Linked DNA regions of Kluyveromyces lactis. The protein of the gene in region 2 purifies or fractionates together with the protein of the main gene of each other region. This does not show direct contact. Links are inferred from orthologs where the notes say so. Each region holds a gene or a part of one and is shown on either strand. Other genes may lie near its edges.

The links.
Region 1: the proteins of TAF8 (region 2) and TAF6 purify together in Saccharomyces cerevisiae (affinity purification with mass spectrometry; 5 studies listed by BioGRID). This does not show direct contact. The link is inferred for Kluyveromyces lactis from reciprocal best matches to the Saccharomyces cerevisiae genes TAF8 and TAF6.
Region 3: the proteins of TAF8 (region 2) and TAF1 purify together in Saccharomyces cerevisiae (affinity purification with western blotting; 10 studies listed by BioGRID, with this or other methods). This does not show direct contact. The link is inferred for Kluyveromyces lactis from reciprocal best matches to the Saccharomyces cerevisiae genes TAF8 and TAF1.
Region 4: the proteins of TAF8 (region 2) and TAF3 purify together in Saccharomyces cerevisiae (affinity purification with mass spectrometry; 3 studies listed by BioGRID, with this or other methods). This does not show direct contact. The link is inferred for Kluyveromyces lactis from reciprocal best matches to the Saccharomyces cerevisiae genes TAF8 and TAF3.
Region 5: the proteins of TAF8 (region 2) and TAF13 purify together in Saccharomyces cerevisiae (affinity purification with mass spectrometry; 5 studies listed by BioGRID, with this or other methods). This does not show direct contact. The link is inferred for Kluyveromyces lactis from reciprocal best matches to the Saccharomyces cerevisiae genes TAF8 and TAF13.

What each region holds. Positions count from the first base shown.
Region 1 is NC_006042.1:979,218-982,483, reverse strand, and holds TAF6 (TATA-binding protein-associated factor TAF6), read right to left. Parts: upstream 2,062-3,266; coding exon 511-2,061; downstream 1-510. Other genes in the region: SLD3 (Sld3p), read left to right, coding at 1-470; DAD3 (Dad3p), read left to right, coding at 2,432-2,689; ARC40 (Arc40p), read right to left, coding at 2,880-3,266.
Region 2 is NC_006040.1:143,432-147,048, forward strand, and holds TAF8 (Taf8p), read right to left. Parts: upstream 2,198-3,617; coding exon 509-2,197; downstream 1-508. Other genes in the region: FCP1 (protein serine/threonine phosphatase), read right to left, coding at 1-187; SCS7 (fatty acid alpha-hydroxylase), read right to left, coding at 2,913-3,617. UniProt on the Saccharomyces cerevisiae protein: Functions as a component of the DNA-binding general transcription factor complex TFIID. Binding of TFIID to a promoter (with or without TATA element) is the initial step in pre-initiation complex (PIC) formation.
Region 3 is NC_006037.1:879,447-883,439, forward strand, and holds the start of TAF1 (histone acetyltransferase), read right to left. Parts: upstream 2,808-3,993; coding exon 1-2,807. Other genes in the region: RTT102 (Rtt102p), read left to right, coding at 3,364-3,825. UniProt on the Saccharomyces cerevisiae protein: Functions as a component of the DNA-binding general transcription factor complex TFIID. Binding of TFIID to a promoter (with or without TATA element) is the initial step in pre-initiation complex (PIC) formation.
Region 4 is NC_006042.1:2,524,106-2,526,971, forward strand, and holds TAF3 (Taf3p), read right to left. Parts: upstream 1,570-2,866; coding exon 520-1,569; downstream 1-519. Other genes in the region: mRNA-binding protein RRP12, read left to right, coding at 1-327; RET3 (coatomer subunit zeta), read left to right, coding at 2,228-2,797. UniProt on the Saccharomyces cerevisiae protein: Functions as a component of the DNA-binding general transcription factor complex TFIID. Binding of TFIID to a promoter (with or without TATA element) is the initial step in pre-initiation complex (PIC) formation.
Region 5 is NC_006040.1:863,721-865,865, reverse strand, and holds TAF13 (Taf13p), read right to left. Parts: upstream 1,004-2,145; coding exon 524-1,003; downstream 1-523. Other genes in the region: ERO1 (ER oxidoreductin), read left to right, coding at 1-186; ARG81 (Arg81p), read left to right, coding at 1,570-2,145. UniProt on the Saccharomyces cerevisiae protein: Functions as a component of the DNA-binding general transcription factor complex TFIID. Binding of TFIID to a promoter (with or without TATA element) is the initial step in pre-initiation complex (PIC) formation.

The DNA.
Region 1 (3,266 bases), on a different chromosome or scaffold from region 2:
CGAACTCAAACCTTGTAGAGTTTTTGGAGGAGGAAACAACAAAGAAGAAACCCAAAATGGCGTCAAGGTCGTCGTCGGATTTGAAACTGAATCGCCTTCAAAAAAGACAAATGTCTGTGCAAGATCTTTCTTTAGACGATATTGTCAAGCAAAGACAACAAATATTGGAGGAGTTCAGCACTGTTAGAACTGTTTTGGTAAACGGAAAAGCTATCAATATCTCTCAATCTCATAATAACTCTTTCCAACGAGTTGGTAAACGTAAACTTGCTAGCTATATCTCAGAAACCGGATTTGATGATAAACAGCAGGATATACATGTTACAGCAACTCCGATCAAACCTATAGAGGAAAAGAAGGACACCCCAGTGTTGGTGGCTTCCCCTTCAGTTGTTTCAGAAACACCAGTTAGGGCATCGCCAGTAAAGGTTAAAACCAGGCACGTCCGTAGGAGATTATTTGCGCCGTAGTTAATACGTATATTCGTTACAATATTTACATATTTGATGTCTAAAGCTCACCAAAAAATATAGCATCGTATAGAGTCTTTGCATCGTCTCTTTCCAGTATTACGTTGCCGACAGTAATTCCGCATCTTTCTCTCAAACGAGTTTTGTCCTCCTCACTAAAATCACCAGAAGGGTTGTATGAAGATGGAAGATCAGATTTCAAGTTCTCTAAAGTGGACACTATCACTGTTGACAATAATTTTATCTCCAAGTCAGTTAGGTTCTTTCCGCTCTTGCTGTCTTCCGATTGGCTTCTGTCATATTCCTCGAAAACTAGTTTCGACCAGTTTTGTAAATTGCCTAAAAAGAATCTTATTGTTTCGTTACCGAGGACAGAAACACCACGTACACAACCATAGTAAGTACCGAATGATCTATTGATATCCAAGAATGTCTTAAGTAAAGTTCTAGTAACACGAGGTTTCAACGATTTGTGAACCTTTGGGAACTTTTTCAAGACGTGATCGAGTAAAGAGCTAGCAAAATCACGGACAGCATTAGTCTTCTCTAAAAACTCTTTTTTATTTTGCTGGTCAACAATCTTGTCGTCAGATGAGTTTTTCGAGCCATTACCACCAAGTCTCTTCGCTAATAGTAGTGTTAAGATAGAAGGCATTAGAGAATGAATGTAAGGATCCAAAAATACTGATTGATTACTCAATAACGAATATATCATTTCCAACATTGTAGTTAACAACTCCAAATCCTCTAAATGGTGAGTAATCTGCTCTGCGATAAACTGTATGAAATATGGAACAAGCTGATGTAGTCCTGTGTCAGACTTCAACGAAGTTAAAGCTGCTGCTCTCATCCGTTGTGAATTGATATCTTCTTCCTTCGATGTAAGTGCACTAGCAACTTTTTCGAAATATATCTGTAATTCTTTAGACAAAACGTGTTTGACCAATGGCTTAGCTTCACTTGCTGCACCTGGTTTCACTTGTGTCGAGATAGGTCCATTTGCGGTGGCCTGTCTTTCTTCATTGACATTTGTTTGTAAAGAGGTTTGAACAGAAGTTTCGTTTAATGGTGAGACTATTGCTCCTCTTTGCAACGGAACTTGACTCAGCCTTAGTTCATTGATATTTGGATTTTGTGGAATGGCAGGTTGAATTCCTTCTACCGCTAGCCAATGCGCCGTGAACGTTGGTAATCTTGGAACTTCTGGTAATGGAGTATTGATCAATTTTTCAAAATCGATCTCCTCATCATCTAGGTAATAAAGCGTCTGCCCATTAGCGCCCTCCAACTTATTGAACTTAACGGGCTCATTTTTCGCTGATCCTTCCTCGAATCCATACAATGGCTCGACGTTAAGGACACGTAAAGCTTTCGCAACATCGCTTGTAGTCAAAGTAGATCGCTTACTGTGTCTCTTAAATTTCACCGCTTGTTCCACGATTTCCAAAATACGGTACTCGACATCCATCGCCAATGACCTCAACACGTCATCATTTGTATTTGAGATTCCGAGTGAATCTGCCACATCCTTCACCGTATCATGCGGGGACCAAATTGTATAAGATTGTTGCTGAGAGGACTGCTGTGACATTATTGAAATTGAACACAAATGAATAAAGAAAAGAATACCGTTTACTCGAATAAAATTTATCGCTGTTTCAGTGTATACACCTGAAACTAGAGTTTTCGAGTGGATGTTCGTGCAATAGAGGAGCGCTGGTGTTGTATTCAAATCGTTGGCTTTGTATTCCTTACTTTGAAGGATGGAGTTGTTATTCTTTCAGGATTCGATCGTTTATGTTTTTCGTCAATATTGGAAAATACCAAAAATGAAATAACGTTATCATAAGTTTACCGGATAGAGTTCCAATTGAATATGTAAGGTAAGGCAACAAAGGTAACCATTACTGGTTTGGGCTTACGTACAAATTACAAAGAAACATACTATTTGTGTTTTGAATATGTCTTCGGAACTGACACCATTGCAGCGAAGTGTGCTCGATAAATATCGCTTCCTAGCGGAGTCCTTAAGGGAATTGAGCGAAACACTTTCAGATCTAAACAACACCCATGAGGACTCAAAACCGGAAGCAATTTTACAAGAGATGCGAGAAATTGAAGTGAAAATATCTCTTGTAAGTACGCTTCTCAAAGGTAGCGTATATTCACTCGTGATACAGCGACGGATGGATCACCAACAAAAACCTTCAGATCTATGAGCGGAATCGGACTGATTATTGTAATCATAATCAGAGTTGTAACATTACATTTTAATATATATGAACATAGATATACATATTTCATTTCTAAGGCCACTCTTTTTTATTGTATTCTCACTCTGAACGTAAGAGTTATAGGGGTGATCTGATCAACTATTTGATGAAGAGATGAATCGTTTACCGTCCATATCTACAACTTGTATATAACAAGTTTACCATCCAAACCAACAGAAGAAACTTGAGTGACGTTGTTGTTAGATTCCTTGTAAGCAGCCAATTCTGTAATTGAGTTCACATGGGTAGATTTCTCTTCTTGCTGGCTAACTTTACCCTTCAAATCCAATTCCTTGAACTTTCTCAATGCGGACATACCGAAGGCACCTTCTTCTTCATCATCCCCAGTTGATGCTACCAATTTGCCAGCACTCTTAACTGGGCTATCCAAAATCTTGGACACTTCCCAACCCCTTGAACCTTCGCTGTACAAAACAGGATGATTTGAGAAACCAGCTGCTAAAATTTCATGATCATTGATCCAACATAAGGTGATGAATGGAAGACCTTCTGGGTTGTCTAC
Region 2 (3,617 bases):
CCCGATCCACCCGCTGCTTCTTAGTCTTCTCCTCATACTTCACCAGAACGTCCTGGAAATCCCAATACTCGTAAGCAAATAATCGTTGGCCTTTTTCAACGTGATCACCCGGTTTTACGTACAACTGCGCAACAGTGATGGGATATGGTAGGTCACTGGTCACCTTCACATTAGTTTCGAGTGACATCTTACCGCGCTTGGAATCCCGCTTGACAGCCCGTTCCCTTTCTTGCAACTCCGAAATTCATTGTTATGTCTTCACGTTGGCTTTTATTTAACAGAAATGTTTGTTATTTAAATTCAAATTCGATCGATAATGGATAAACAGATATGAAGAGAGAAGTAAACAGAACATACACAGCATGAAGTATTCTTGCATCGCGTGTATGAGTGGTGTTACATTGATTAGCATTAGGAGAATACAAACGTTACTGACTATACGAATTATGATGTACATAGTTTTGATTCATTAGCTAATATGACTACTTATAATGAAAGTCAAAATATATCAGAATAAATCATTCACGTTAGAATCGTGATCTTGTGATTGATTTTCTAGCAACTCGTCTGTGGCAACTCCCGGTGATGTATGAAGGGCTAATTCTGATTTAGCTTCTTCTGATCCTGCTTCTGGTGCATCTTCCGATATATCTTTCGGCGTCAGACCTGATGCGGATCCCGATGCGACTTCTGAAAGTAAAGGAGTCGAATTAGCGGGGGTAATTGACGGAAGTACATCTTCAAAAGTCTCTGTGCTTTCCATCGGTTTTTCTTCATCTGGTCCGTGCAACAGCTCAGAAGCCAACTCCCCCAGAGTTGAAATGTTAGTATCTGTTATTGCTTGTACCTCTGGCGGTCCCTGCGTCAGAAATTTTTCGTCGTCGTTTTCGTCATCATCTTCGCTGTCTTTGTCCCAGCCATGCAATAGGGGATCAGTTTGTAGGTTATTAAGATCAAGAATCTCTTGTTCGGCCATTTTCTTCTCCTTTTCTATTCTCCTTTGTTCTTGTAAAAGTCTCTCTCTTTCTTCTGCCTCTTTTCTCGCTCTTTCTCGTACTTCTTTGACTCTCGGTATGGAATCTATCAGCCCCAAGTAACTACGCCTTAGCATTGTTTTCAATTGATTTTCAACTGACTTCCTCGATTTGGTACTCCCTTGACCGTAGGGTGAACAGATCATGGCACCTCGTATGAATGGGTTACGTCTCTTATTCGATACTTGGTTTTCTGCCCTTTCAGCCCTTCGTTTTACTATTGCATCTCTCTTCTTACAGTATTCTAACACATTGAAATTCTTCACTGGCGAAAGATTGAATGACTCGATGCCATGAAGGACCGTTGTTGTACCCCATTCTTTATCTGTAGGTATGGTTTTATGAGGGTCAAAGATTAAATCGGTTTCTAACTGACTTTCTTTAATATGTTCAGAAAGGGCAGCATTGTTGGCAGACTGGTCGCTATCTTTATTTAGCGCTACCAGTGGGTCCTGATTGACAACTTGACTAAGCATATTCAACAATGCCTTTTCCGAAAGCCTTCCTTCTTCTAGTAACTTCTTCTTCATCAGCCTCTCATCTGTAATGGGTCTCTTGTACAACGAGGTAAATTTGTACGTATGATCAGGCGGTAGTTCTGGCAACCAACTGGGCACATATTTGTTAGATTTGTTGCTCGAAGGTAACAAATTTAATATATCAACATCTTGCACGAAGAACTCTGAATGTTTAGAACTCAAAAGCTCTTTTTCTTCCAATTCTTTCATGAACTGCTGTTTAACCTTTAGCACAGTTTCGTTCAAGGCATTAGCCTCGTCCTTGAATTTCCCATGTACAAAATTCGATATTTCCACTTGCCCATTCAAATCTTTCAGATCCATACCAATACCTTTAAAGTAGAGGTTCAAATCAAGCTTGGAGATCTTTGTCCTTCGCTGTACTTGAGTTATCTTCTTCAGACTTTGCAATAAATCATCTAACTGTAATAATGAAACATAACAAAGATCGTCAAACGCCAATTGAGATATAACCACATTCTTATTAAGTGTCTTCAATTGCAATAGTACGGCCTGTGCAAACAAGCGTTCCATCGGATTGGCATGAGGTACCTCATTTAGATTAGGTAACTTATCTAGTCGCACACGTCTCTGGTCAGTCTCTATCTTGGCATCGTTTTTATCTTTATCCTCAGAAGTCGTCATATTCAGTCTCAAAGAGCCAACTAGTACTTTAATATTGTATGAGTGCTTTACTATTCGGTCAGTTTCATACCCATAGGATGAAACTGATTGATTGCTTTAACCCTTAAGAGCTAAGCGTTTGGAGACGTCTCTCGCAATAACTTCAATGCTTCAACTCATTCATTCAGAGTTTTCGAATGGCATAACGTTCGGGTAATACCGTTATTATTTTCACGTGATTTGCGTGAACTGATGTTAATAACATCAAGAGTAGATAAAGTTACACGAGGTGGACGAAAACAACCCGGCGAACATGTTTAAAATAGTTGTGCTGAAGCAGTTGTATCAATTTATGTATTGGATGTATATGGAGTTAAAACAGAAGATAAAAAAAGATATTAATACTAATAACGATATCATAAGAATAGAACCTGTTCTTGGCAAAGACAATCAAAAGAGATGGATCACTGGTTTTGGAATTGAAATGGAAGATCTGGTGGAAATATATCCTCAGGTGGACATATATCGCTGACGTTTGTGGTATCCATCAAACTCTCTCGGGTTTTGTTACAGAGAGAAGGAAGGAGAGAGAAAGAAACAAGAGCGTTAATGCTGAAAAATGTGTAGACTGGGAGAGGAAGAGTTCCTATCGTCGTTAAAATGAGTTTAAAAATAATAATAGTGTGAATAACAATGATAGAAGGGTTGTGTGGGCACGTATAGTGAATTATTTAATTCAATCATACTTCATGTTGGATAATGGAGCGTTTTCACCAAGATAAGTACCGAACACTTTATCCCAGAACCAAGAGGTGACACCAAAACCTAACTCGTAATTCTTGTAATGATGCTCCAAATGGTATTTCTTCAATTTACGCATGTAAGGTGGTAATTGTGAATGGTGCAAGAAGTAATGTGTCAAATCGTAGCACACATAACCTAGCATACCACCAGCGAATCCAGCACAAGCCCAGTAGTATGGTAGTAGTGCAAACACTAGTTTGTAGAATGGTGTACAAAGCACAACGAACAAAGTAGGAGGCATAACCAATCTGAATCTGTCCATTGGTAAATAATGATGAACACCATGCAACAAGAAATGCAAGGTAAACGCCCATTGCTTCTCTGGAAGACGGTCATCCAGATGGAACAAAAATCTGTGCAATCCGTACTCGATTAAAGTCCACACGAATACACCGACGGCAAATAAGAAGATAGCAAAGGCCTGGTTCATGTTCATCAATGCAGTATAAATATGATATGTGACGACTGGTAACCAGACGACCGGAACCATCCACCAAGGCGTCTTGGAAAGGGGCTCTAAAAAGTTTCCAAATAGTGGAGCTGACCCCTTACCGTAGTGCCTAGGTCTGTGTACTTGATCTAGGTAAAAATCTTTTGTAAATTTACCGAAAAGCACTTGCCATAATAGTGGTTTGTT
Region 3 (3,993 bases), on a different chromosome or scaffold from region 2:
GCCAATTGTTCTTCCAATAGTTTCTTTTGCTTCAATTGCCTTTCCTCTTCGTTCTCACCGCCAACAATGGTTATGTTATCGTTGATCAATTCATCAAGACCCAAATTACGCTCCGCCTCTTCACGCCTCTTTTCATACGCACGTAAGTAACCTTGAATGACCCTAGGGTCTCTGACTATAACAGTTTGTCGTTGAATGATACCGTTGGAATCTCTCTTCTTTCTAGTAATCCGTAACACTTTCTCGTCAGGTCTTGTCGAGGGAACATGCTTATTACTTTCATTAACGATATCTGGATCATCCATTTCTTCAAAGGGATTTTGAATGCTTAAAGACTTGGCTTGGTTATACCACGTCCTACTTATTTCTTCTTCATATGCTTTCTGTTGTTGCGCGACATTGTAACTATGACCACCAGCAATTTGCGGTTGATCCTTTGAACCGGATTTTACAAACCCACCCTTCATAGAGGTTTTCAAAAACGAAAAACCTTCACCACAACCAGTAGGATCACCAGGTCCATGTATTTGAATCATTGCTCTCATCTGTGTAGCATTCAAGAAATTCTTGGTAGCATTCCAAAATATTAAGTTCTCCTCCAACTCCTTAGCTCTTTCATCGAAGTTGTAGAAATCAATATCTTCCTGGAACTGTTGACCATAATACATGGATTCAACGAGTGAAACATCTTCAGGAGTAACCATTTTCTTCACGTTTTCGTTATCCAGTAAAACTTCTCCCTCCTTTAGTTTCCAGAAACCTTGATCATCACCTTCACGTTGATACTTCATGAATTCCTTTAATCTTTGTCTGTTTTGCATATCATTTTGTTCTGGGAAATGACGAGCCACCTGTTTCACTAACAGTCTGTTTTCCGGAGATTTGTTCAAAATACGATACACAACCATCCTCAAACGGTTCTTACCCATAGCAGTAACCTTTCTAGAATTCGGACCAGGAACTTCGACCACTGGGAACGTTTGACCGACAGCAAAGAGATGATTAATTTGACGCAAATAGAATCTGTTACCGGACCCATTACCAAGACTTTTCACCAGAAGGAAATCGGTCTTAGAGACCTCATGTTTGAAAACGGGGGCTCTGACCATATTGTTATATAAAGTGGGAACAATGTTTCCTGGACTGACGAAACCAAAATTCCAAAATGGTGATTTATCCTGCACACCTAATACATGAGTCTCACCAACGGGTAATTTTGGTCTGGAGCTGTCTGTTTCTCCCGTCTTTCTATAATAATTGATAAGCTTGTTAGCCATACCAAATTTAGATAACGCAACAGGTTGCTGTTCACTGTATTCCATCAGGAACACTTGAGCACTGTCACCAACAGTCAAGTCCGCAGAATGTTGGAAAATTTCGTGCACATCCTTACCTTTATCCTTCTTTCTCTTACGGGTCTTTATCTTACTGAACACTATGTTGGTACCAGGACGAATCCGTTTCCCGAAATGATTTCTATGAAAGTGTCTCAACTGATCTTTTGGTAACACAACTTTGTAGAATGGAGATTGTAGGCGCGTCGCCGGTTGAGAATGTTCTATATTCAAATTCGAAATTGTAGATCTGATCTTTTTTTGATAGTTCTTTTTCAAAATCTTGTAAGTGTCATCGTTAGAGATGTTGAACTTTGCTAGTAGAGATTTCTCATTATATGGTATTAGAGGTTTAACGACCTTTTGTGCCGATTCGATTTTATTCTCATTAGGCAAAATAAGTAATCGCTCATCATTCATATCAATTGGCGGTTCTTTAGCACTCACCTTACCATTTATGATATCATCTTCGTTCCATTCCCAGTCTTTCCCATCTTCTTCTAAAGTGTTCTCAACTGCTGGCGGATTCCTCTTGTTACTCGTCATTGGCTCCTCATTTTCTCTATCGTCAACAATTTTCTCATAATCCCATTCATCAGCTACAATGAGAAGATCTTCCGGTATCACTTCATCGTGCTCATCTTTCTTGTCATCTACAGTATCTTCTTTATATATCTCATCGTATGCTACTTTGATAACATTTCTTCGTTGAACTTCAGAGAACTCGCTTATAGCACTTTGCCAAGGCTTTACGCTTTTACTCCTCATCTTGAACAATTTTTTTGTATCCTTTTGAACTTGAAACTTCACTTTAATGGGTATGAGAGGTTTTAAAATTCTGTTTCGAAGGTATAACTCCCTTTGCCATTGATACTTCGCCAACGGTTTTGGAGCTATCTTGGTCATTCTTAGGACTCTACCCGGCTTTAGCTCAGGGAAATAAGACTGAAATAATAACTGTTCTTCCTTCGCATTTTGTTCCTCTTGTTTCCTTCGCTGTTCCTCCATTAACCTCCTGTGTTGCTCATCATATTCGTTAAATTGGTGTTGTTCTGGACCAAATGACTGATATGTGCTCTCCATGAACAATGCATTATTACCTTGTACTTCAAATCCAGCAGCGTCAACTTCATGCATCACATCACCATGGTCCATCAGAGTCATATATTCGTCGTCTTCAGTCAGACTCCGCTGAAACGACCCTTCATTATGCCTGTTCGGAGAATGGGATGGCTCTTCTTCCTCCGGTAATTCTTCATCTGCCAATTCATCTTCATCTTCAAAATCAATAGCATTCGGCAGATGCTCTGTTTCATCTTGCTTACCATTGCCGCCACCACTAGTATAATTACTAATATCTAATGCCCCAAACTCACCACCAAATAGAGCGTTATACGCATCATCTTCATTGCTGAAATCCTTCTTTGCCTTGCCTTGTTTCTTGCTTCCTGAGCTTCCAGCAACCCTAGGCATTTCGCAAAAATGGGTGTATTATGACTGGAATCAGATTAGAATTCTGTTATTGACAGAAATATTGGCTCACAGAGTTGAATGAACCTATTTAACCACCCTTTTTATGACTTCGAGCACTCTTTACTGAAATGTACATATCAGCTCTTCAACTTTGTTTAGATTTTGATATTGAGGGATCAATCCAGAGACCGGGTAACGTAATTTCAGTGCAATCCATGTAACATAAACCACTATCATGGCCCAGATTGGCCACTTCACTCGAATTAACAAGGTTATATGCAATGTGTAGCATGCACTCATCTCATTTACTGGCTTTTCGTTTCAATAAGTGGTTCGCTGACCTATTAATCGACCATTTTATCCCATTTAAGGTCAATTTTTGTTGATAATTCTGCCAACATGAAATTAAAGCCAAACATCAAGAGCTTAAAGCTTAACAGTGCGAGCAGAGATCTAAAGGTACAATGCGACAATCTTTTAGGTGTTAGATCGACTAACTCGGCCAATTATTTCAGCAAATTTACACACTGAGCCATATACTTAACAGAAAGTGAGAATGTCTTTGATAAGTAGGGCAAATCGTCTTGGAGGTTTCACGACCGATGCAAAGCATTGGGAATACGAATGGTCCACTACTGCTAAACAAAATGAAAATGGTACTGATGAGAAGGTAAAATATAAGTTCAAGCAATGGGTAAAAAAAGATCATCCTTTGAGAGATGTAGTTGAGGATGATACAGATGTTCTTAACTTAGATGAATTTGATAGGACGAAGATAGCTAAGAAAAATGCTCGTGTCCAGGAGAAAAGTGGCCCAGATTCACTCTCAATTAACGATATAAGAGGAGCTGTTGGTGGTTCTGACATTCCTGGGTTCTCAGGATCGGATGCTAAGAAAGAAGCCGAGAGTGAAGCTGCTGTTGAAACTCCTGTGGTTGAAACTCCAGCGGAAGAAACTCCGGCTGAAGATACACCGGCAGAGGTAAAAGACCAAGAAGGCGACGTAAAGATGGAATGATTCATTATATAACGATTACACCTATATACTGTAATTTTACTACGATTCATGGAATCCAGAATGTGGCCTGGACGCCCACTCTCGAATAAGATAAAGACAGTCCTTCATCCAAAGGAGGGCAAGCAGGAAAAACCATCACCGCTTTTGTTCTCCACATAGGACGTATGT
Region 4 (2,866 bases), on a different chromosome or scaffold from region 2:
AGAAGGATTGTCGATGATGAAGTGTTCAGCTTTGATGCAGAAGGTAAGTTGGTTATGAAAAACGATAGGAGAAGAGGAGAAAATAACAATGAAGATCCGTTAGAGGCTATTACCAGTGGTGTTAATGCATACTTAGATGCTGTCAAACAAGGTCCAGTAAAGGGTCAAAAGAACAGACTAAAATTCAAAAAAGGATCCAGAGCTGGCAATGAGGATGATTTCAGTGATGATGAACAGGAAACCAAGCTACCAAAAACAAAACCAGCTGAAAAGGGAAGAATTGGTAAAAAATCCAATGGTAGATTTAAAAACAAGAGGAGATTATAAATCACTTTTACCTGATATGCACTGCAACGCCCTAGCCCATTTATCAATTTGATAGTTGTATATAGATGTATAGTAGAATAGACAAAATCGGAACCAAAAGATTGTTACATGTGATTGATTTGAAAACAATCGAGTGAGAGTGCGATTGTTTTGTCGTAAACATGAACTAATTTTGTGTTAAACAAATTATATTTATATATCGTATGCGTGTCCAAAATCCAAAGATGCCCTTCTTTCAAATGTATTTTGCATGTCCTCCATTTCGTCTAACTCTGTGGTAACTACATTGCCTAAAGTTAAGCCTCCCGTTCCAGAGGTCTCAAAATCATAATCCGTTTTATCAATATCGGTGTAGTCTTGCTGATCTTCCTCCGTATGGAGGGGTTCAAGTAAATCGTCAATATTCTCATCTTCATATGAAACAACTATGTTTTCTAACTTGTTATTTGGGTTACCGATAGGTAACTTTGAGATGAGTCTTTTCAGAACTATTTGCTCTGCTGCGTCTTCAGTACTTTCCTCTTTTCCTTCTTCATCTTCGTTAATTTCGATTCCAACTGGAATGCATGAATTGGTAATGATAGGTCGACTTCGGCTTAGTTTAGAGTATTTTAATCCAGGAATTGACGGTAACGAAATGAGATCTTGAGGAAGTTTCCCCGACTTCCTCTTCGCAAGTTCTAATTTTTGTGATGTCAACATGAATTGTATCCAGTCATCCATATCCCCGTTGTTTATCATTGCTTCCACCAATTCTGTCTCATCATCTCCATCGTTAGGCTTTTTGTCCGATGTATTCAGCTGGTTGATATACTCCGGAATCATTGACAATGGTTTACTAGTTTTATCACCAACTTTCAACAGGTCTGGACTTGGGGTACTGATAACTCGTGCTTCTGTTGTTGCGGGATCTTGAAGTAACCATCTTTTAAACTGTTGCATACCTTCATCGCCTGCCACGGACGGGTTTTCATCGTAAACATCCAGTAGGTTCATTGGTTTAAATACGCCGATATTGAGCATTCCTTGGGTAATATCTTGAAGGGACACTTCTTCATCTAAATCACGGCGATCCAGAGTAAGTTTCCGTATTTCTTGAATCATCAGTTCTAGATATCTCACATATAAATCAGTAAAAAGATTAACTGTCCCCATTTTGGCTCTATCGAAGCCATGTGCCCTTAAAAGGTGTATCATTGAAATTCGCAGCAGCGAAAAGTAAAAACTTTCATCAGTGGTCATAATTGTGAGGAGCTGAGTAAAGCAATAACACTTTGCTTGCTCAATGCTTAGAGCGTAGAATATACAAAATACTGCAAAGTCTTTGCAATTGGCCGGTATTTAACTTATGATAAATAAATCAAAGTAAATACTGCTTAGTAAATCAATCAGTGTCCTCGAAGCTCAGTACTGGTTGCATTCTGCATCGAACGAACCCCACAATAGACAGTTTTCGTTAATGTATAGTATTTGCATGGCTAACCTACTTATCAGACAGTAAAAGTTACAAGTTCCTTCTGTGTTTTCCATTACCCGGAAACAAATCACGTGATAAGAGATTCGATCAAACACTTGCTGTTTGGCGTTACTGGAGCATAAATCCGTATTCAATGATATCAACAGGCTTTCATTGCCATGGAGCTTTTTACATGGACAGCTTTACAAGACATCCAAAGAAGGCTACTGATTCTAATTACAGGAATGGGCAATGGTTGAGAGCTGAATTCTGCCTCTCTCGAGCGCAGTTCCTATTTGTCCTATATCTTGTCAACTGCAAATTTGGAATTTTCGCGTACCGCCAAACCAGCACTTCCCTCCTGAGACAGTAAACCATTGCATCAGTACTGAATAACACGAATAGCATACCCTGGAAGTAACCAAGAAGAAAAACATAAACAACATGGTTAACTTATCTCTATACACAGTTAAAGCTGTGTTGATTTTGGATGGAGAAGGAAGAAGACTTTACTCGAAATACTTCCATCCACCACACGAAGAAATTTCTGCAGATTCTCTTGCATCCAGCTTAAAGAAGCAAAAAGAGTTCGAATCTAACCTATTTGCTAAAACTCATGGGCAGAATTCAGACATTATGATATCAGACGATCTATTAGTTATTTACAGAGAATATGTCGATGTTTCGATATATCTGATCGGTGCAATCGACGAAAACGAAATTGTTTTGCAAGAAGCATTCAACGGGTTCAAAGATTCCCTAGAATTGATATTGGATACAGGTATTGACAAGAGGAGTGTTCAGGAACATTATGACATGGTGGTTCTAGCAATTGATGAATTGATTGATGATGGTATTATCTTAGAAACTGATCCAGCCACAATTGCCTCTAGAGTGACGAAACCGCCTTCAAAGGATATCCCATTGAATATAGAATTGAATGAAAAGGGTTTGCTAAGCGCGTGGGGCTTTGCCAAGAGTAAATTGGCTGAAAGATTACAGCAGGGCTTGTAAGCTTCTCCTCATTTTCCAGATTTCTTTTATAATCAGACACATATGTTTACCATCGATATGTAAATACTG
Region 5 (2,145 bases), about 720 kb from region 2:
GTAGAATGGAAGAATTTCAAGCAAGCGTTGCGGTTTATCGTAACAAGTTATACGGACCTACCTTCCACTGTTAGTAAGTACACTGTACTAAAGCTCAATAAACTCTGGAACAAGTTTATTGGTGTTCCAAACTATCTCGAAGAAGGAGAGGAGCTTGAATATCCATCCTACAACTACGAAGAATAGATTAAAAACCTCTCAAATTGTCATTTTATATGACAATTTGTTTATAGATATTAAGAACTACAGGAGAACCAGCTGAAAATTCCAATTATGAAGATAAAGGTGATTATGTTCAAATAATACCCTCTCATAAGCTATTCATTTGGTTAATATATAGCTAATAGAAAAAATAAACGTATATGTTGCCGCTAAGTATGCATAAATATGGCATTTTGTTCAGAAAGGCGTAATACTATAATGATAGAATTTATATGAGGATTGCTTTGTTTTTTCACTTCTTTTGCCCAGCAAGAGAAGGATTTCAAGTACAGATATGCTAGGGGTAATGCGAATGTAACTCTCAGCTTGTTTCCCGTTTCTTCTTCTTAGGAGGTTCATTTCCCTTTTTCCTTGGTCTGCCTACCGGACGTGAGGTAGGAACGGGTTCAGGAACCGTTGTCGTCTCCTCATCTTCATCAGCCGAAATGTGGTCATCATCACCGTCATCTTTCACTCGTTTCAAAGATTTCCCCTCTGAATTATCAAATTGTTTCCTGGCATCGGTAATAACTTTATTCATCTTAATCAACTCTTCAGCTCTACCTAATTTCACCTCGTCCTTTCGAAGTACAAATCTGAAATCTTCCACTTTAATCTTATTCCTCTTCACGGTTTGAGCCGAGTAGTACGCATTGGCACATATATCGCTCAAATAAGACACCACCAATTCGTCTACACATTGAATGGTCTCTGGTAAAGGTTGCGCGACATCACCAAACGCATACATCAAAGAGCCAACATCTTTACTGAAAAGACTTGTTTTACGAATTCTTCTGGACATTCCTGTGTTGATCTAGAACTCCAACCGACTAGTCAGCTCTACTCCATGGAATGGACGAATGCGCTATAAGCTAAACTGTATAGCTTGATCATTGTTTCGTGATTTTGATTCTGGTTCTGAGTTTTATGTCAAACTGTCAACTTAAACACAGCGAAGAATAGTGCGAGTTTGCTTTTTTTTTTTTCGCAGCAAAAAATCGCTTGCGTTTTTTTGTCCCCAAATATCATGCGCAGTCCATCCAACAGTTAAGCTATATAGGGAGCTTTTTAGCGAGAAAGAAATTGACAAATCGCCTAACCCTTCCGCTTGTGTGAAAATTTTGAGAAAAGACGAACAGAGGAAAGGACATGACAGATCCACATCGCATCTTCTGAGGATCAGATAAACAGAGCAATGATAATAAACCGATTAGTACCGCTCAAGATAAGGTTTTAGTAGATATTATTGTTCCAACAGTGGCATCATTTAGACGCTCATCTGCGTGTGGTTGATATTGAAGGTTTGGTAAATATTGGAGGCTATTTTTCCTTCACAGCGACTGTGAGTCAAAGAGGATACAAGCAGGAATGAAGCCTGCGAAGCCCAGAGTGAAGACGTTCACGGGATGCTGGACATGTAGATCAAGGAAAGTAAAGTGTGATCTTCGGCGGCCCGGATGTGAGCGATGTGAGAAAGGTGGGTTAATATGTGGAGGATACGATGTAAAACTTCGGTGGACCCGGCCAATTCAGTTTGACACTATGGGTAATGTGACCGCAACACCTACAGGAATCAAAGATCCAGATGAGCCTCAGTATCAGAGAAGAAACGTTGATTTCGTTCGGTACAAAGAGGAATATGTGTATTATGAGGATATGGACGATGAATTATCAGCGTTAAGCTCTCCTCCTTTAGAGCTCATCTCTGAAGACAAGACTTGGATTATAAAGAAATTTGGTGTGTTCAAAGGCACAGATAAGGTCAAAAAAAGGTACGTGCCACGGAAGAAACGTAAGAAGAATCAAGTTTTCATTAATGCCATCGAAAAAGCTCAGAAGAAACTAGCTAATAAGAAAAATAAGGTTAAAACTGCTGATTCAGATTCGAAAGAGGGCACAAATTTATGCACTCCAGAAGATATGGAATCATCATCTGCTAATGAT